Drosophila melanogaster: one gene and its partners. The protein of the gene in region 1 interacts with the protein of each later gene in a pairwise test. Each region holds a gene or a part of one and is shown in the gene's direction. Other genes may lie near its edges. The genes, in order: Zasp66, RASSF8, CASK and CG10841.

The links.
Region 2: the proteins of Zasp66 (region 1) and RASSF8 interact in a two-hybrid assay, tested with the Drosophila melanogaster proteins (one large-scale study listed by BioGRID).
Region 3: the proteins of Zasp66 (region 1) and CASK interact in a two-hybrid assay, tested with the Drosophila melanogaster proteins (one large-scale study listed by BioGRID).
Region 4: the proteins of Zasp66 (region 1) and CG10841 interact in a two-hybrid assay, tested with the Drosophila melanogaster proteins (one large-scale study listed by BioGRID).

Annotation. Positions count from the first base shown.
Region 1 is NT_037436.4:8,622,453-8,627,388, forward strand, and holds the start of Zasp66 (Z band alternatively spliced PDZ-motif protein 66), read left to right. Parts: upstream 1-1,918; 5' UTR 1,919-2,030; coding exon 2,031-2,231; intron 2,232-3,756; exon of another isoform or gene 3,757-3,941; coding exon of another isoform or gene 3,942-4,058; intron 4,059-4,508; coding exon 4,509-4,657; intron 4,658-4,936. Other genes in the region: GAPsec (GTPase activating protein, SECIS-dependent read-through), read right to left, coding at 1-482, 625-1,097, 1,156-1,235, 1,303-1,322.
Region 2 is NT_033777.3:25,659,829-25,666,163, forward strand, and holds RASSF8 (Ras association domain family member 8), read left to right. Parts: upstream 1-1,966; 5' UTR 1,967-2,586; coding exon 2,587-2,658; exon of another isoform or gene 2,659-2,805; coding exon 2,806-3,179; intron 3,180-3,321; coding exon 3,322-4,042; intron 4,043-4,109; coding exon 4,110-4,420; intron 4,421-4,481; coding exon 4,482-4,827; 3' UTR 4,828-5,812; downstream 5,813-6,335. Other genes in the region: Tnks (tankyrase), read right to left, coding at 764-959.
Region 3 is NT_033777.3:21,819,632-21,824,388, reverse strand, and holds the start of CASK (CASK), read left to right. Parts: upstream 1-1,714; 5' UTR 1,715-1,906; intron 1,907-3,365; 5' UTR 3,366-3,683; coding exon 3,684-3,742; intron 3,743-4,622; coding exon 4,623-4,735; intron 4,736-4,757.
Region 4 is NT_033777.3:13,630,188-13,635,409, forward strand, and holds CG10841 (uncharacterized protein), read left to right. Parts: upstream 1-1,754; 5' UTR 1,755-1,874; coding exon 1,875-1,910; intron 1,911-1,987; coding exon 1,988-2,114; intron 2,115-2,187; coding exon 2,188-2,331; intron 2,332-2,390; coding exon 2,391-2,563; intron 2,564-2,623; coding exon 2,624-2,830; intron 2,831-2,891; coding exon 2,892-3,273; intron 3,274-3,337; coding exon 3,338-3,548; intron 3,549-3,607; coding exon 3,608-4,045; intron 4,046-4,106; coding exon 4,107-4,575; 3' UTR 4,576-4,674; downstream 4,675-5,222.

The DNA of each region.
Region 1 (4,936 bases):
TGTTCGTCCGCAAACACGGAATCCCAAATGCGCAGTACATCTGGCAGTGGAAACTCCTGCGACAGGAGCAGTGTGAGCCACCTGAAGCTGTAATACTGCGGATGCAGCTCTTGGCTCCTGAGTAGCTCGTAAATGCTTAGGTCCTTTGATTTCAGCATATTCGATAGCCTGGCCATCATGAACTTGATGCCGCCTTCTGCGTCGTCTAGTGTTTTAATAAAAAAGTCTCTTATCTCGCTCATCAGGGCGGTAAAACAAAAGAAACAATCAGCCTCAGCGTGGGCGCGATATGTGAGGTCAGGATCGGAGGCCATAACATAGTAAATGGGTCCCACGATTTCGTTCATGCCCTGGACATATCCCTGGCCGGGATTTAGTTTGGCATAGATGAACAAAATGCGTTGCACAACTTCCCAGTGAGCCTCTTGGCCCTCCTCCATGGCGGCATAGTTTTCAACGGAGCGTTTTGTAATCAAATTTATCTATATAGAGCACACATATTCATTAGGTTTGGGGCAGTTCCAGATGGGCTTACTTACTTGCTGCTAAAATCCACACGGTATGCATGAATGAAACAACACATTCTGAGCTTATTGTCTAGCACAATTCCGATCTTGAACTCACCTTTGTCATGCCGAGGCCCTTGCGTTCCACATTCGCCGAACTTAGAACGGCGGGAACCACCCGTTCGTGGAGCCTTCGTCCATGCTCTCCTTTGCTGTGGACCACAATCTCGCAGGGATAATCGGTGGGCTGCTGGAAAAAGGATATGTCCGGGCACAAGCGGCGGACATCCTTGTCGATTTGCAGTAGAAACTCGTTATCATTGAAGAACGTGTTCCACGCGCTTTCGGGTCCCTCGCTCAGCGGATGATCTTGCAGGCCAACGCCCCCCGAATCGACTTTGTCCCCATCTCCTCCGTCTACGCTAGCTCTATTGCTCGAGTGTCCGGGGGGCAGGACTAGCTCCTCGATGAACTGTTTATACAGGGCTCGCTTTTGGGCCAAGGTTGTGGTCCAACTACTGCGCCTAGGCCCCAAATAGCCAAGGAGTAGCTTCCAACTGAGTGCTCGAAAACTCTGCACATCGGGCACACCTGTGGAGTGCTCAGACTTCAAATTTTGAACATTTCAAATGCACTCTTAGCTTTCTACCATTAAATGCCAGTTTCCTGAGTTGTTTCAGGTCAATTAAATCCTGTGGCCCCGCCAAAACATCCTCAAATTCCTTGACTCTGCATTTTGGTTAGAGAAAGTCTTTGTTTACGGAGAAGTTTGGATTAGCTTAGAATAACAGCTTACCGCGCCTTGAAAATAGACATGCTGCGGCTTTATGTGGGCGGGGCTATGCTGAGATCTTGCAGTACCCCTATGTGTAATTAATTAAAGCTTTATCTCAGTTTTATGCTGGGTGAAATCTGCAGGTATAAAACACAACAAAACAATGGGCGTTGCCAGATGGTTCGAGCTCTAATCGATTATTCTCTGCGACTATCGATTTTTGAGTGCATTGGGCGGTAAAATTCAAAGTTTTTAACGATTAAATTTTATAAATAAATCGAAATTTTAAATGGTTTACTGTCCTCGTAAAAATGTATGTAATTACCTTCTGTCTTAATTGTATTGTTCTTTTTAATTAATTAATTGAAAAACTGTTTTTAAGCTGGTTGCCAGATCTTGTAAAGCTGAAGGCGCTATTGTTTAAATTGTAAATGAAAATGATTAAATCATGATTATTAGATATTGCTTGTATGTATTTTCTTTGCTCAATCAAATTTACTAACTGAAACATCAATTAATCCATTCATAATTCTCCGCGTCTCACTATTTCACTGGATTTTGAATGAATAATAATATTCTGTTTTCGCTCATTTTCTCTGATTTTTTCTCCGCTTTTATTTGATTTTTCAATTGCCTACTAGTGCACACACACACGCAGTCGCGAGCAGACGCGTTCGAATCGTAGAATTTAGCGCATATTTCTGAATGTGCGGAGCATTTCTTTTGTTTACTCTAGTCGCTGGCCAGCAATGACGACCAGCAGATCATCGGCGTCCGCGTCATTCAGTCGACCGGCTTTCTGGAAGGTGCCCGGTTACGAATTGCCCACGTCCTATCGTCCACAGCCGACCCCAAAACCGCCGCTCGTACCGCTGCCATCGCCCTGCAGGCGGCGCAGCAGCAGCGGACTGAAGAAGCGCGTCCATTTTGCCGATGAGCAAAACGTGGGGGTAAGTCCAAGTGGCCGAGAAAAGTGGAAGCCCCAACCCCTTTCAAATCGCCCGGCTTGTCAATCATCGCGCGTGTGTTCTTTTCTTATTCGTATTCCAATGTATTTGTGGCCCCAATTCACAACAGGCCGACTCAGAAATCAGTTCAATAACATTTCGCCCCTTGCGGCTCGTAAATTTGTCAAGCCAAATCTAATTAATTGGCCACTGCTGCACTTTTCGGTCAAGTAAAATGGCCCAAAAAAGATGGATGGATCTATATTTCCATTGGCATGACTTTTATACCATTCGCAAGACGTTGGGTGAAGAATTTCGAATGATTTACAATCCGCTCAAGGCTGATCTACAGCAAAAGTCACCGTAAAAACATTACACGAATTCCAATTGAAAATGAAATGAAAACAATTCAAGCCGCAAATAGTAAAAACATTTCAAGAGCCAGCCAAAAAGTGCCGAAATCAGAATGTATAAAATTAAAAATGAAATGGCAAGCCATATATTGTGTATATATTCAGCGAAAAGCCAAAAGGCAGGAAAAGATTTTTCCGCTGTAAACAGTAAAATTGTTGCCAAAATCGAGAGGCAGACAGAATGTTTAATACAAACCAACGTCCTTCAACCGTTGACCCGTTCATATTGCGTATACGTCACGTTGGCCGTAGACTTTTCCATTGACTAATGCATTAAAAATCTAATATGATTTGCTTATTTAAATTGGGCAAGAGTGTCGAATTGGTTGTTGCAGTTGTGCTAGTACCGCCTCAGTAACTAAAACTAATTACACTCTCTCTTGGTTGCCTCATCGTTCGGCAAACAAGTCGGAGAGGAATAAAACACTAATAAAATAGTCGAAAATGTCGAGGAAAAACAGATGCCTAGATACTTGATTTTTATGCTTTTTTGCATCAGGCGAGCTAGCTCATCAAAGCATTCGCCTAGATGATGATATGTGGCATTCATCTCTTCAGGGTCAGCGTGCAACTGGATCAAGTGCTGCCCTAAAATGTGGTCAACGAAATGCAGAATGCCACAAATGCAGGGCACACGTCGAATTAAACAATGGGAACAATGTGGGAAAAGGTTTGAGTTTGTGGTGGCTTGCGGATGCTCTTCGCGATTTGGGTATATATAATAATGAAAATAGTAAAGCTTTAAATACATGGCACACATGCAAGCAATCATGTTTATTAACACTGCGTATGCGTAATTTGATATGCAGCCGCTTATCAAGTATACGCCTAATTATCTTGTGGTAATTATGAGCTTTGCCGAGGTAAATGCTCCTGATGCTTTTTGAATCCACGACATCCGCTCTGAGAAATTCAGAGTGCTCTTAGCGGAAACCCCATTTAACGATTAGGATTCGCCAATCGAATTCATGTTTCTCAGCATGTAGTCGCCGTTGCCGGCGGATATAAGTTGTACATGTATGTACATATGTGTATGTAAGAAACAAACTTGTGGCGCAGTGTACTCTGCTGCCGCTGCTGTTGCTGCAAAAAGGAATACGAATTGTATTTTAAAATTAGTACTTGAGCAGCTTTGCGATCGAACAAAACGCTTAACGGATTGCAATCGCGCGCCGCCTGCGGCTCGGCCAGAAAAGGCCAGAAAAAAAAATAAACAATAAAAAATAAATATATATTTTCGGGATAAACCATCGCTGGATCGGATGAGCGTCTGATCTTCCAGTCTATCTTCAACATCAGGATGAGCCCCAAGCTGCATGAGTTTGCGGTGGTGCTACTGCGCGATGGTCAGGCCACGCCCTGGGGCATTCGTTTGGTGGGCGGCAACGATCTGGACACGCCGCTAATTATCACCAGGGTAAATGGGCGTTATATAACCAGAGAGACTGTCGCCTTGTGGTCGCTTGTGGTCCATTCATCAAAATTGAGCCAGAGAAGAAATGCCTGAGGAAAAGCGATTGGCCTTTGTGCCCCGCATGCCGCTTTGTTCTCAGCGCCCAAATAAACAACAACAAATCAAAATAGCGAAACGGGCACAGCAACAATAAACGCTGCAGCGTTGCCAAAATGCGACGCCAGTAAAACTAATTGAGGCGCAACCGAATAGTCGAAGAAAATTTCCACTTTTCCTACCTACCCCCTTTTCACTGAGCTGCGATGTAAACACACACATTTTGGCGATCATAATTCTGTCTGCATCTATTTAGGCACCCATAAATCTGTGTCAAGGTTGCAACCAGCCCGTTGCACCCTATACTATGTGTGTCTAATGACCTTCCCACCTCCTTTTCCACCCCACCCGTTGCAGGTGCAAGTGGGCAGCCCAGCGCATGGCGAACTTCTAAGAGGCGACATCATCTCGAAGATCGGCGAGTACGACGCACGCGACCTGAGTCATGCGGATGCACAGCAGCTGTTCCGCGGCGCTGGCAACGAGATCCGCCTGGTGGTGCACAGGTGAGCCAGGAAATCCGTGTATCTGCATCAAAGATACCAATCAGTTCCGTATGTTTAACATCAATTTCTTCTACGAGTGTCAAGTGTATTGAGTAAAGAGAACACCTTCATTTTAGTTTTCTGTTTTTTAAACAGGGCTTTTATCATCATAAAAGTTAGTTGATTATAGTCATAGTATAAAAAACTTAACTTAAGTTTTACTCCATTGCCAAAAGGAAACCTTCGTCTTGGATCAATTTGCACTAAGAAACGTTAGGAACTGATTTTTCTTTTGTATGG
Region 2 (6,335 bases), on another chromosome or scaffold:
TAAAAAACATGCATGCTTGTATTACGAAGGATTAATCATTTGATCACTCACAGTTGAAAAATGTAAATAAAATAAATATGTTAGCACGAGTTATTTTGTTTACCCAATCTAATATTTAAAGGCCAAGCATCTAACTAAACCCTGCGAAACAGGTTAGCTATACAATCAGACCATATGTTGCAGACCTTTATCTATGGGATTCTACGTGTAAACAAACAAAGCTAATCAGATGATATATGTGTGTTAAACATTCAATTTCCAGTGCTGAGACAGTGAAAGCTCTCATTGAAATGGCTAATTATGCAGTGCTATTATCTCGACCGCAGCTGTATGAGTCTTTTTTGAAAATAGAAAATGCTTAAATGCAGCACGCACGCACACATGCAGCGGCAAAAGGGGCAGCACGGGGGATTCCCCTTTTGAGAGGGGGTCTTCCGGAAACAAGCCAAACATATAGAACACATAGAACGGTGGTGGAAGGAGAAGCAGAAGCAGAAGAGGAGGCAGAGCCAAAAGCAGAAGCGACATGGAAACTAGGTCAACTCTCGACGCCATTGGAGCAGGCGAGTGTCCGACCGAGAGCGACGACAATGACGCCCGTCACACCCAGGCGCAACTAGCTCAAGGCCAAATCCGCACTGCAGCGGGGGGTTTGGGCGAGTCCTTCAACCTTTCGTTGGGCGAATGGTGGGGTGGGCTGCCGTTTTTAGACCGTCCTTGGAAGGGATTTGGATGGGATCTAACCGCATCGCATCTCACTTACCCGCTGCGAAATGCAATGGTGTGGATTTGCGTCCCGCCGTATCCCTGGCGTTCACGGTCTGAGGCGTTATTAGCTTCTTCACCTTGGCGATCTCGCCCGTTTTGCAGGCCTCGAAGAGCTCCCTCAGCGGATCGTTGGCCATGACCGCATCGAGATTAACGCTCAAAATGGCCCGACTTCGGCTGCTGTTGGCCATTGTTGTGCTTGTTTGCTACGCTTTGGCACACACACGCCCCGAAAAAAATAGGCAACAAAAAACAAGCGCAATATTCAGTGGGCTTTCGGGTTTTCCACTCCCAGTCCAGTTCTCTCCTCCAGCAGTTGCTCTGCCCGTCCTACACAAGCCTCGCCGTTGTCCGTCGCTGGCTTGCCCGCATCCTGTATCCAGGTGTCCTGCCTATGCCGCAGGAGCAACAATTTGCCACTGGCTGCCACGCGACCAGCCCTCGTTTTTGCTTAATATTTAATGCACAATTGCAGACCCAAAATCAATAGGATTTCTTTGGTTCGACACAGCACGGTTGCAAGGATCGCGGTTGGCTACGATTCGTTTTTACTGAGACTGCGACCAACTCTGGGACTAGCTCCCTGGTACTTGGCCTCCAAAGCTCTGGGCACGGACGATTATTTCCGGATTAATTCACTGCTCCGCGAAATATTGCATTGTTTTGTGACCGAGTAAGAGTGACCGTTCGCGGGGTGGTCGAATATTCCAGGTTGAGTCAAGCGGTGTGACCAGGCGACGGGGCAAGCCATTCTGAAAAAATACTGAAGTCCTCGAATCACATAAGCTTTTCCATTAATTATATTTTTTAAATTTAATAGCTTATGTTCTCACAAGGTTTTACACAAATTTGTGCTTCAGTGTGCACTCACTATTTGGTGAAAAGCGAAAAGACGTTTGCATCTATATTGTGTTATAAGAAACAATTTTTTTTGTTAACCAAATAGACAATATTCAATTGGTGGTACAAAAATTAAGATCATCATTTTTATGAGCTTAAATTAGAATTCTTAAATTAGAAAAGGCCATGTAGGAATTTCAATTATCCTAATATAAGCACATAAGCCTATTACTAGGGAAAAAATCTCAAAAAAATTTTTTAAAATAATAGCAAGTACCTGTTACAACAACATGCAATCCCAATTGGCATTGCTATCGATAGCTTGAAAAACACCTGTTTGGCCATCCCTGGTTGGCTGTTGGTGCAATCGATTTTTGGCATCGACTGGATGCCCATGCCAACAACAATGTTTGCTTTTAAAATTTAGATTAAATCCGTTAAAAATCCGTGAAATCAAAACAAAAGCAGTGGAGCTGCTTCACAACAAGATTATCGTGCTTACTAGAAAGTGAAGAACCACGGAGTTACCGCGCCGGAAGTACAAAAGTAATCACCAAATCGGAAATCCGAAAAGTGAATCAGAATTTTTCTAGCTCACACACACACGCGCGCATACCCGCACGCCCAGCAAACACTCATGCAAGCGTATGGAACCAGTCGTGTTGTTGTTGTTGCTGTGAATAAGTGCAAGTGAAGAAGAAGCAGAAACTGTGATCGGAAAATTAAGCAAAAAAGAAAAACAGGCGAGGAAAAGTGGGGTTGGGGAAAAGCAGACGGAAAAGTGGAAAGGCGGAGTGCAGCTAACACGCTTCGCTGGCTGCGCGACAGCAGAACGCCAGTCAAGCGCCAAAAACCATTAGTAGAACCCCATTTCCAGCTGGAGCGGCACAAGAAAGCAATTTTCTGGTAGCAGAAACACCAAGAAACGAAAATAATTGGCCGATCTTTAGAGACTCGACTCGACGACAATTAGCCGGAATGGAGCTGAAAGTTTGGGTCGAGGGCATCCAGCGGATAGTTTGCGGCGTTACAGTGAACACCACATGTCAGGTATGTGAGCTACAGCAGAGGTCAAAATAATAGCACTATTATCTTGTTAAAGCATTTTACACTGCTGCAGTGCTGTTAATGTGACCCGAACTGTATGCGCTCTGTTTGCTAGTCAGTTTGCCCTAATTATCGTTTTATTTTCCACAGGATGTGGTTTTTGCTTTGGCCCATGCCACTGGAAAAGTGGGCAGATTCACTTTAATCGAAAGGTGGCGCAATAACGAACGCCACCTGGCCCCCAATGAGAATCCAATGAAGCTGCTGCTCAAATGGGGCGAGTATGCAAATGATGTGCAGTTTATATTACAACGTTCGGAAAACAAAACACAGCAGCAGCAGCAGCAACAACAACAGCAGCAGCAGAACAATAATAATAATAACAACTATGCTGTGATGACAACAACAAAAAAGCCGCTGGGGCCGAACAACAATAACAATAATAAGCCAGCGCCCACTTTGCTAAAGCAAAAGTCGAACGTCGAACTCAGCTACCGCACAAAGGAATTGAAAAAAAGTTTCGGGTGGGTGGTTTTTATATGCTAGTTAGTTTGGAAACTACCCCTTAAAGCGCTTACCTAGCCCTAATTGTTAATAGGCTAACAAACTGTGTTTAAATATGCACCTGTGCGGCTACCATCAACTGACAAAACTTGTCTCTTTCAGGGGCCACGATGCCAAGCAGTTTGACAACATTGGAATCGTCAAGGGAATTCCGCAGCAGCAGCAATTGCAGTCACAACAAACGGCCATGGGAGCACCGGCGAGTCCACCACAGGAGCAGCTGACACCGCAGGATAACAATAATGTAGCACCACTGGTGCCAAAGCATGAGAAATCGCTGTCCAATCCGCTGGACATGACCAGCACGGGTAGCAATCCACCCGCACCTACAAATGGCTACAATGACTTCTACAACAATAACAGCAGCAGTAATCAGCATATATACAGCCAGCTGAGCAAATCCAGCAATGAACTCCGACGCTCCAGTCCCAACGAAATGTACTACAACAATAATAACAATATTGTTAATAACAATAACAACTCACCGGAGCTGTACAAGCAAACGCCGACGATTTCCGCGAATGGAGCTCTAGTCCCACCACCATATCGTGACCCGCCACCCCCGAGAAACAGCCCCATGTGCCAGGGGCAGCGTTTGGCCAGCAGCAATGCGGACACCATGTCCAATGCCTCCTCCTCGACGAATCCGTTTCTCAGCGACTACGATCAGCATAGCAGCCACAACACTAATAGCATCAACAATAATAGCCAGGCCATGGAGGAGGGTGAGCCCATGTTCCAGACCACGCAGTATAACGATTTGCTGCAGCTCATCAAGTTTCAGCGGGAGAAGATCACAGCCCAGCAAATGGAATTGCAAAAGGTACAAATATTCAAGTTTCTAAATTGATTTGGAATGTTATTATTTTATTTTTGTTTTATCTGCTTAGTTCGATACGGAAATAGTTTATTTGGAGAGCAAAGAACGCGACCACGCCCACGAGTTGGATGCTATTTCGCGTGAGATTTCCAAGGCGGATCAAATCTTTCGGCAAGGAAGCGAACAGCTCCAGACTCTGCAGTATGTGGAAGAGGAAAACGAATTGGTCAAGCAGCAAGAGAAGACTTTGAAATCAGAAATAGCTCTACTGCGATCCAAGCTGGCCAATTGCGAAACAGAGCTGCTACAATGCAAGAACAAAATGCGCTTGCTGATGGATGACATTGAGCTGGAGCAGCAACATCAACAGCAGACCAATAGGTGAGTGCATAGCAATTTACTTGCTTTGTTTTAAGTTTTTCACACTTCTTGGTTGTTTCAGGCAAACTGTGGAGCGAGACTTCTTGATGGAAATGGAGCGCATTCAGAGTGAAATCGACCAGGCTCTGCACAACACTGACACTTCAAACAAAACTGCAGATAGTTTAAAGAAGGAACTACTCATGATCGAGCATGCCATCGCGGACAAGAAGCGGCAGGTGGAGCAGCTGGTCAACGAGATGAAGGAGGTGAATTTGCAGAGCCTGACTGTGACCACCACGGAGGAGATCAAGCATCTATTGGAAGGACCCAACAAGCAGGGCAGCAGCCGGCGGATCATCGGTTCGCCCAGGCAACTTGAAACGGCGGTTCCAACCAGTAAAAATCCTCATGGTGTGTGGGTTTAAGTCACACATACCCAGAACTATTTTTCTAAACGTATTTCTCCTCCAACAAAATAATGTTTTTGGGAACAAATTGATCAACATATCTTGAATGCATAATGGAGTTGAAACGAAATGGATTCCTTATGAATATCACAATTTTAAACAATATTCTAAAAATATTTACAATAATTAACGTGCTTGATTGTTGTTTTAGTATGTTTACATTCCAATCACACTCTATGGATCTCTCAATGCAATGATATATGTTACAAATTTGAAATCACAATCGTTTTATTACTCTACATTCCGCACTGTACTTTGTATTTAATAGTAGTTAATGAGTCCCATATTCACATGCCCTAATCTTAATTTTGTGTGCTATACTTTTGGTTAATTTTTGCTGCTAGTCTACGTGTTAACAAAAACCCTTTCCAATCTCTACAATTCGCCATTAGTTGTTAACTTGACAATGAATTTTAATTGTTGCAATAATTCGAGAGTATCGTAATTTAAAAACGCCTTTCTAACGAATAAGTAGTGCCCTTAGTGATTTGTCTCCTACAGAATTATTCATTGTAGAATTCACAATTCGAATTACACAAAACTTATTGTACTTAGCAATTAGCGCAGCTTTAAAAAAACAAATTAGCAATGCTTTGTTGAAAAGTTTAACTTTTAAAGTGCTTAGCCTTAGCCACCGGATATCGAAACAAAAGACCGAAGCATTAACAATTGCAAAGGTATCAAGCATTAGTACATACATAATTGCTAGCGTACAATTAAAAGACAACCCACAAGTCGCTTTGATGTATTATGTTTTTAATTAGCAATATTTAATATTTACACAAACTGATGATGATAGTGAACTACAAAACACCAACGGAAATGCAATTTATCGAATATTATATATTACTATTACATTTAAACTAAAAACGATTTAGAACAAATTGTAATTGCATTACATCTAATTAGCTAATAAATACATTTTTATGATTTTCTCGAAACGAACTGTCTGTATTTACATTTGGTTTTGGTCTTTTGAAACACCACGAATTTTCCGCAAATGAAATCAACGGTCAGCCCGAAGTCCTGTGCCACACGAAGCTAGCTGCTCGGCCGCTTTTCTTGTGCGGAGGGAAAAACAAAATCAGCAACACATGCTGCCACCAGCTTCAGTTGGCCGCTGTGCTCGAACGCGTTTGGTCCTTTTGTCCTTGTCGATATCCTTCGCTCGCGACTCAGACTTCCTGGCGAAGCGCGCGCTACTTTCAATTTTCAAAAAGTGTCGCCCAGTGAACGGGTCAGTGAAAGTGGCCCGTAGGAAATAAAGAGGCAAAGGAGCATACATTTGAATGGTCCGTTTTTGGGGGCATCCTATCGCATTGACACAATCGACAAAGTGGTCGAGGGAGAGCGTTAAAGTGGCCCGCCAGCAAAAAGGACGAAGGAGCGCTCCGTTTTTATGGCCCTCTTCCACACCAAATGATGTTCAATTGCGATGATTGCGATAATGAGAGTCCCAGTTTCTC
Region 3 (4,757 bases), on another chromosome or scaffold:
TTTTCAAGATTCGCGTTTTAAATAAAAAAACAAAATTTTTTTTTCTTTTCTATATATTTTAGCTGGCTGATACAAGTAGGTAAAACCACTTAAGAATGAGGAAGGTGTGTACTTTTTAGTTTATACCCAAACTATTTGATTGATCTCACAAATTATGAAAGAAGTTGTATAAATTAAAAAAAAAATTAATTACTTTTTTATTATTTCTGAATATTTCATAGTGCGTATAATTTAATTGGCTGCTATTTTACAATCGAAAGGTGGACATTAGTGGGTGACCACTGTTGTTATTGCTGATCATTAACACTTGTTGTTTTTGCTGCTCATCTCGAAATGGTTGTTGGTGCTTATCCTTTTCGACTATATCCCCCGTAGTAATATGGCCATATTGAGTTCATTTTCATCAGGTCTTTCTTCATTTGGCTGATGGTTTTGTGTTTGTTGCTCCCTTATTGGCTTGTTGTTTCTCTTGCATCTTATCTGTGTGTTGTTGTCGTTGGGCGTTTGGCGGTGATTGTTGTTGTTGTTGCTGTTCGAGGTTTTGTAATTGATGATGTTTATGTTTGAGTATTGGCCCCCGTCACCAGCCCCTTCCAACTGATTTAAAGATTACGCACCTACGGTTTTTATTTTTTATTTTCGAGGAGTGCGTGTGGGTTTTCCTCGTCTTCGGTTGAGGGACTCCTGTGTGTGTGCCTGGCATATTAATGCCAAGATCTTAATTTATTCTAATGGGTTTATCAAATGCTGTGGGGTAATAATAATAATAATAGATAAAGTTGAATGGCGCGAAAGAGAAGTAATGTAAATAATATGGTAATATTCAATGAGCTGTGAACGAGCCTGGCGATAAAGTAAGTTGATAAAGGTTCTGTAGTGAAAATCCCTGTATTAACACACTGGTGGCTTAGTCCAGTTAAATAAATCGTGAATCATTTTTGAAGGGGAAAATGTTTACTTTCAAGTTGATGAATGGTAATTGGCATCGTATTGCCGATAAAACTGGAAAGTGTTCGAAATTCGTATGTGCAATATTCCACAATAGCTTTATGCACTTGCTTGCGTACCGCATAAATATTTACCTCCATTTGACTTCACTCAAGCGGAAACAATTCAGTGTGCAATGAATTATCTTACTTTCGAGTAAATTTATTAAGCATGCAGTGGGTATTTATCAAAGGAAAACAACTGCCTTTTGCTGATAAGTCAAGCAAATAAAAGCATATGCAAAATGCTACCGAAGAGAAAGGAGCAGGAAAATATAATTTACTTTTTCTTTAACAAAATTAAAGTTTTAATAGTATTTATTTTCAATTTCGATAAAACATCTGTGTCGTTATGAATGACTATATTCTTAACAATATTCCAAAATTATACTTTCTCGTCCCCAAAACTTTTTTTCAAAAACTTCCGCGCAAATTTTAACAGACCAAATAAAGTTAATAACAAAATGACAGAAAAGCTTAGATACCAACGGGTTTCTGGTATTTTTCCAGTATAACCAGTTGCTTGATTCAAACAAACTTTCTTGAATTAAAACTTTGATTAACGAAGTAAGTTGCTGCAGTACCACCCTTAAATTTATTTTAAAAACAATATTTTTAATGAACACAGGTTGGTATCAATTTTCAATGGGAGAGCCGTGAACCGACTCCAAGTTCCGAACCAATCCAGCAATGCACCTGCAGCCCTGGAATTCTAGTTCGCGGCGAACCGGTTCAGTTGCAACCAGTTCTTCGCCAATCAATTCCTCACGGGCCGTGTTTGTTTTAAGTTAAAATTAGTAAATTACCCAATGCAATCAGCTTGCCAGGCGATTCGTGCTGCGCACCTAGACAATCGAGTGCTAATGCGATTCGCTAAAATGCCAAAAACCAGCGGCCGTTGAAGAATCGCTGCCAAATCGGTGGGTTTTCGTACATAAAACTATATGCGAATTGTTCGTGCCAGTGTGTGTTCGTGTGTGTGTGTGTGTGTGTGGTGTGAGTGTGGCCCCCTCTATGTGTGGCCGATAAAGGGGGCGGTGTCGTTGATAAGGGGGCGTGGAACATGAGCAATGCAAATCCTTTAGACAAAGAATCAATTTGCCAATTGTGCGACACTCGAGAGTCTCAAAAAGTCCTAAAAGCAGGGCCAAATGCACACACATAGTCAGTGAGTGAGTGTATGTGGGTGTGGGTGGGTGCGTTAGTGAGGTGGGCGGTAAGGTCGTGTGGAAAGTGTCAAGGCATTTTACAACAGCGGCACACGAGCAAGGTAAAACCCTCGAGCCCGAATACTAAAACCGAGCCAAAAACACCGCGCCCCATGCGCAGCTCTGCATTAAACATGACTACCAGAAAGTCCTTCGCGGGGATTCCCCGCAAATGCTCCGTCCTGCTCTCGCAGTCGCAACTCAGTTCTCCACATTTCGTGTGTGCATCGTAAATTGTTGCACATTTAAATATTCATGCAGCCCGGGCAGAAAGCATAGCTTATATTTTTTACGATTACAATTTTGGTGCTTTACACGAATTTCCCACGGCGCCGGCGCACTTTACATCCATGCTCGCCATCTTTCTCGCACTCCTTCGCTCTCTTTCACACTCTCTCGCTCTCTGGCTTTCTCCTTTCGGATTTTTGGAGTGCCATCAAAGTTTTGAAAAGTATGTTCAAGTGCTGGACCAAAAGGCATAATAATAGTATGGCCAAGACAAAGGTAGCGCCTCCCATCCACCCTCCCCCCCTGCGAACTTTCCCCGCGAACATCCTTGGAACGAGACCCTCGAAAAGGACACATTCTGCAGGTCCTGCTGGCTTGTTTACCTTTTCAGCTGGCCATCATTTCCGTTGCAAAATTCACAACGCCCACTGTGCGGGGATACTTCCTTCCTACCATTGGCACTTTCGACAGCATTTTGTGCATTTGTGGTGTGTGCCGCCTGTAATTGATTGGGGTTTACACCTGATATGAGTGTGATTGACATATCAAACAAGTTTCGGCCAGGCCAGTCTCATTTCCGTTGCGACACCATTAACAGTGGTCCCTCGAAAAGTGTTCCCATCACACAAGTGTCAACACGCCAGCCCAACTTTATAGTGGCATTTTCAATTTGATTGATTCAGATAGCATTATAAACTTAACTTAGTTTGTAAGTAAGATTACAAAATATTTAGGAAATTATTAGCAAATTTTCTTGATTAAAATCTGTGTATAATTTTTCACAAATGTAAACAAATTTGTTTATATTTGCGTCATCTGCTTGACAGAATTCTCGCAAAGCTTCTTGACAGTTTCTTAATTAGACGCCAAATAAATCTGATTAGCGGCCTTCAACTAATGGAAAAACTCACCTTCACCATTTTCACTTGTTATATTTTTCCAGCGCAAAATGCATTCTTAACATCAGCAGCTACGAAAACAGCAACAGCATTAGCGGCAACAACGAATCAACGACACCAATAACAATACCATTAACAACAAATCATCAGAAGAAACCGAAGGAAAACGCTCAAAGTTTTGGAGTTGCTCACTGGCCGCTTAGTTTTTTGTTTATTTTTTATGTTCGTTTTTGGAGGGCAGTAGGCGACGACGGGCAAAGGAAGCGGGAGAAGGAAAAGCGACGGACACGAAAAACAGGACACAACTCATCAATATTCGAAAAAGCAATTGAGTCGAGGCATCAATTCATCAATTATTCAAAATGACCGAAGACGAAATTCTCTTTGACGACGTCTACGAGCTGTGCGAGGTCATTGGCAAGTAAGTTAGCGCCCCACCGGCTATATCTTTAGCCGATTCTGCTGCTGACAGCTGGCATCCATGGCCATTATCTCATTATGTATTATGTATCCGCCCCGTATGCCCATCCCACCCACCCAGAAGCCGTAAATCATGCAACTATTGGCCTGGGACGAAGCCAGCTCCCCTCTATAAAAAACTTTCCCAAACGCCCAACTTTTGCATTATTCAAAAATGTATGACCAAACATTTTCTGTGCTAGTTACTTTTGCTGTGATCATCATAGTTTAGCCAGAAGTTCATTCACAAAGCTGTCAATGTTATTAAGTTGAACTTTGTTTAATTTCGTTGGAAAAATATTTTTCACTGATGTTGAAAATGTTCCATTAACACACTTCTAAAGTTTATTGAAAATGAAGTGTGAGTCACTAAATAGCACGTTTTTTAATTTTTTGCAATTTATAATCTATAAACTATAAGCAAAATGACGACCTTGAATCGCAATAGTTTTCCAAATTCAGCTTGGTGACATAGTTCAATAAAAATTAATCACGCTCATAAAACAAGATGATAGGAAATCGTTGCTTGACTTTAAATGAGTTATTGAATAGGAATTTGTAAGAAAATTAAAATTTATTTGTAAAATAATCATCAGTAATGTTATGGCAAGCTTTTGTATTAAAACCCCACGTTTGTAACTACAAAGAGAATACATAGTTGATTAAATTTCCTCTTTCTCAAGTATCTTGTTTGCTTTTAGACGCTCGGAAAATATAAATATTTTGCTTTTGTCGAAGCAAGATAAAATTTTATTCGCTCCCATTTAGACACAATCAACTTTCAATTGAAGTTTAATCCGAATTTACTTTATTCCCCCCCCATCCGGGATTGTTTCTTACAGAGGACCTTTCTCCATCGTAAGGCGATGCATACACAGGGAGTCCAATCAGCAGTTTGCCGTCAAAATCGTTGATGTGGCCAAGTTCACAGCGAGTCCTGGACTGAGCACAGCGGGTGAGGATTATATACACAATAC
Region 4 (5,222 bases), on another chromosome or scaffold:
GCATCAAATCAAACGGGTCAGGCAGTAAGGACAAAACACGAGCAAATCGATGTCCTGGCCATCAACCCACACGCACATAGCCCCGGGCCAAAAGCCAAATGCCCCAACCAGAAACCAGCTCCGGCAGCTCAAAAGCCCGTGGCTTCAATGGCTGAGTAAATCAAAAATGTGCAATAAAAATTGCAATAAAGCACGCTTCAAAGGTAACGCAGGGGGGTTGTGCGGAATTGGATGGCTGCAAACCTCATCTAAGCAACGATAATGATTGCAATTCATTTTTATGACTGCCAACTAACCGTTTCCGGGTATTACGATTCTGCAAACCAATTTGCCGACACGCATATAAACAAATTTAATTAAACACGGAGATTTGCAACAAAACGGAGCGTAATAAAACCATTTTATGCTAAACGGGTCAATTTAAATCACACCTAATGTGCCGCTTTAGATTTATGAAATTAACATCCAATGATGCTATATGCTTATTAAAATTATTGAATGCGGTTTGAAGGACCAAAATTCTAGAATTTTTGACTTATAATGTAGAATCATAAGTTATAGTTGTGTATATTGCAGAATAGTTAAATGCTTATTGTAAAACATTTAATGCGGCTTGGAGGACCAAAATACTAGTATAATTCTATAGAAATTATATAGCTTTATTTTTGCTAAATATGTGCATTTTAACCTTTAGCATTTTCATGCAATCATGCTACATTAATATCACTGCACCAACAATGATATTTACCTAGGCATTTGGCGCATTGACTCCATAAGAGTGCGACATTCGTGACTCTGGGAACAAAAAGGGCATCTAAACAAACACTAGAAATGCCAGCAAGGACCGCCCTTTAGCTTATTTTTAGTCGCGTGGCCAGAAGTGGCCAGAATGGCCAGTTTGAAGTGGGCAGGTGTACGGGTGTATGGGCACCTGTCGTCGCCAATCAACCTTGACTAGAACTGGGCGTTGCAGGGTGGTAGGGTCACTGGGTTAGGTTACTAACATAAGAGTCAGTTCTGCACAAGGTTGCCTTTTGCTGCTGCCACACTGAGGTAAATATTTTGAGGCAACATCAGGTGCGTAAAAATGTCAATAGAGTCTAAAAATCACTTTGAACGGTGTTTAAAAGTAGGAAACTATATTAACAATATATTAACACTGGATTCTTTTCTTAACTGCTATTAAGAGACTTTAAAAAATTATACAATAATTTCCAAATGTTTATATACATTTTAAAATACTTAGTTTGTAATTGCTATTTTTCCAGTGATTTGTTACTGTTAGTTGGCTTTAGATGCGGTTTGCTTGGTTGGTTGGCCAGCGATTTTCCAATAAAATGAAATTGCATTTGATGATGCCAGGATGTTTTTTTTTTTTCAATCATTGTGATATTTTTCCCTCACCCCTTTTGTTTTCCCATGCTGTTTTCCTTCACCCCTGCCATTTATAGAAAATTGAATCAAAGTGTTGGTGGCATTGCGACAAACTGCTGGACGAATGAGCGCGTGATTTGAGGCGATTTGTAGAAAAGTGAAAGCCGGCTCCTGGCCACCGGGACCCAGGTCCCAGGTCCTTGCGTCCTGCCAGCGAAGGAAGTGATTAGTGTAGCACTGCTCGACGGCTTCCTTGCGTGAGTCGCGGCATCCTGGGAGAAACGGGAACAAAGCAAACACGGCGCAGCGGAGAAATCCAATTTGTAATGGCCAAGCTGGCCAAGTAGCCCTTGATTTCATTGTTTCAACGGGTTACCGCTAACACACACACACACAAACAGACACCCTTACACCTTTTAAGGAGTTTTGTAAACATTTTCCACATATTGTGCTGCAAATCGAAAAATAAAAAATCCGAAAAAAGTTTTTACCAAACCAAGATGCATTCGACCAAGATTAAAGAGGGTGATGACAGAGTGAGTTGTCCATTCTATTGCCAGTCATATGTGTTGGCCATTAAACGTATTCAACTAATTTGAATGCCACCGTTTAGGAGGAGATGGAGCTAAATCAAATCTGGCGAGGATGTCGTAAAATCCAGGGCGCCATTTTTCGTTATAACTTTGACATCTGCGCCGACTTAAAGCAGCATGATCCCTGTTGCAGTGGCTTCGTGTCCGGTGAGCACATCCTTCGGATGTATTTCCCATTTTTATTGCGCCCCCTTTTTACGACCTAACCCATCTACTCCAGAGCCCATTTTCACCGCCGTGCTGGGCAAGTATCGCAAGGTGGCCGGATTGTCCGAGTCGGAACTCCGGGATGTCACTGACTATTTCCAAATTCGAGATGGACGCGTAGCGTATCGTCAGTTCTGCAAGGTCGTCTGCAGCGAAAGTAAGTTGGTTTTTGGTTAAATTGTATCAATGCTATATCTATTTAACATATAATTTTAGCACTGCATAAGACCGCCAAAAGTGATCTAGCTACGGGACTGGAGTGGAACGATCCCTGGCATGTGAATGTTGTACCCCAGCCGGAGGATCGACGACGTCTCTGCCTGATCCTGCTCAAGATTGCCCAACTATGCAATATTCCGCTCATGCCCTACTTTCAGGACTACGAACTAGTAATTGATTTGCTTAATCATATATCCACCATATTAATAAGCTATTACATTTATTTATAGATTGCACAAAATGTTGGAGTTGTTACCGTTGCGCACTTTTCTCGTGTGCTGCACTTTATGAAGATACCACTTTCGGAGTCCGATTTTCTGCTCCTCCTCAGACGCTATATGAAGGATGGTTACCTGGTCAACTATGTGGCTTTCCTCAAGCACATCGATAATATTATAGCATACCTGGGCGAGCATCATCTGCTGGACAACTCACATGTAAGTGCTAACTTCAATGCTAAAGAATTCGCGCGTATGATGAAATGTGTTCCGAATGTAGGATATTATCAAGGACTTTCCGGGACGTTTAGTGGACCTAGAACTTTCCCAACTGCCAGCTATTGATGGTTGCAAGGCAGTGCATCCAATCTTTCCCGATGCCTGCAGTACACCCAAAAAGAATCGAAATCAGTGCGACATTCTGTTCTGCATTCAGAACTACATCTACAAGAACCAAGTGCGCACCTCCGAGTTCCTAGAGTGCTATGACAGCCTAAACGTGGGCAGCATCACCAAGAATCAATTTGAGCGCGGTCTATCGAACATGGGAGTGGGAAAATATCTGACCCAAAGGGAAATGTCCATTCTGCTGGAACGCTACACTGATCCCGTGGATATCAATCGAGTGCGTTGGCGCAATTTCGCTGATGAGATCGATACAGGTGAAGAGTAATGAACACTATGAGCACTAAACTCTCTATATATATATATGTATTATATTTTTAGTATTCACCATTAAGAACCTGGAGAAGATGCCACAGTGTGTCGTGGAATCGCCACTTCGTCACATCCAGGAGTTGCCCAGACCCGGCGCCGTGCCCTGGGAGTCTGTGTCGGCTAATGTTCGTGATCTGTGTGAGGATGCCATGGCCAAGATTAAGATACGCATCCGCAATCGTCGCCTCTATCTGCATCCATTCTTCCGAAGCTACGATAAGTAAGTTTACCGATACCGATCTTAAATGAAGATTGAACTATTTGGCGTTTCCTTTCCAGACTCAACAGTGGACATGTGCGTTGCAACATTACCAAGCAGATTTTTCGCACCAATGGCATCCTTCTGTCCGATCCGGAGCAGGACTCTGTGCTGAGTCGGTATGGAAACGAGCTGGGCTTTTGCTACACCAAGTTTTTGGACGACGTCGATCCGGCGGAGTATGCCATGCCAGCGCTGGTCACCAAGCAGCAACTGGTGGAGTGTCCACCGTTTGCGAGAGACAATTTGGATCCCGAGGATGTCAGCGAGGAGGTGATCGTGCGCATCCTTACGAACGCCAAGCGACAGGCTGTGGTCAAGAGCGTGGCCGTCATCGAGTTCATGAAGGACTACGATCGCCATCGCGAGGGCGAGATCCTTGAATCGGACTTCAAGCGAGCCCTGGATAACTCAAGTGTAATCATCAAGGAAGAGGAAGCTAACATCTTGTGCAACATGTGAGTAATTCGCAACTTGTATATGTATTATATTTCATTTATATCCTTTTAACATGACCAGCTTCCGTTCACCGAATCGCGTGTCCTGCATTCGCTATCGCGATTTCTGCAAGGCCCTCGACGAGATCTTCATCCAACTGGACACGAACATGGGTGACCAGGTGGTGACCGCCGTGCCACTGCTCCATTTGCCCAATCTGGACTGCGTCGACTGCTTCCTGAGCTTCGACGAGCGAACCATCTGCTCGCAGGCCCTGATGAAGTTGGCCCGCAAACCGGACGAGATCTCCAATCTGAGTCAGCTGTTCAAGGACTTCGATCGCGAACAGTGCGGCTCGATCACGCAGAATCAATTCCTGCGCGGCATCACGGTGCGCGACATGCATGTAATGCTGAGCAGCCGCGAGTTCCAAGCGATCTGCAAGTGCTTCGGCGTGAAGAAGGGCATGTGCATGGAGTTCAACTACCGGGAGTTCCTGAAAATCCTCGACGTGCTCTTTGCCACCGGTCAAATGAAGCGCAACTATTAGTGGCGCGAAAACTAACCCTCTCCAAATTCCAAGTGTATCATTTGTCCAAATTTTTGAATGTTATCAGTAAAATAAAAAAAACAATTGGTGGATTCTTTTAATTTAGGTTTCTTTAATGTAATGTTCGCTTTAAAACTGATCTCCTATCATTCAATTAAGTTAGGTTGTAATTTCGCTTGAGAATGTTTAATTTCTTTTTTTTTTTAAGGGGGAAAATCCACGCTTCCATGTATTGATTTCCTCGAAATGCTACCTAAACTGCCCGTCCAGCACACATCGGCATTTACATATATTAATGCCATCCATTCAGCTTGACGGTCGGACGATTTCATAAAGATTTTCATATAGCTATAGTAGTGTATACATAGATAGATTTGATTTAACAATTCGCATTCTTGCAGTGGTCTATACAATTGTGGGTGTGTACGTAGAGAGTGTGACTTTAGATTTTTATTAAAATATAAATCTCTTCCCTTTCAGAAGTGTACATAAATATAGATGTATTATGTATTATGTATGTATATATGTAGTCTATGAGCGTAATACACATATCCGGAAAACAAAAACTAATATCGTTTCCGCTTTCTCTGCTCTGTACTAGTATATTATGTAATATGGTGGTTTGTTTGTTGTAGGTTGTTTCTGCT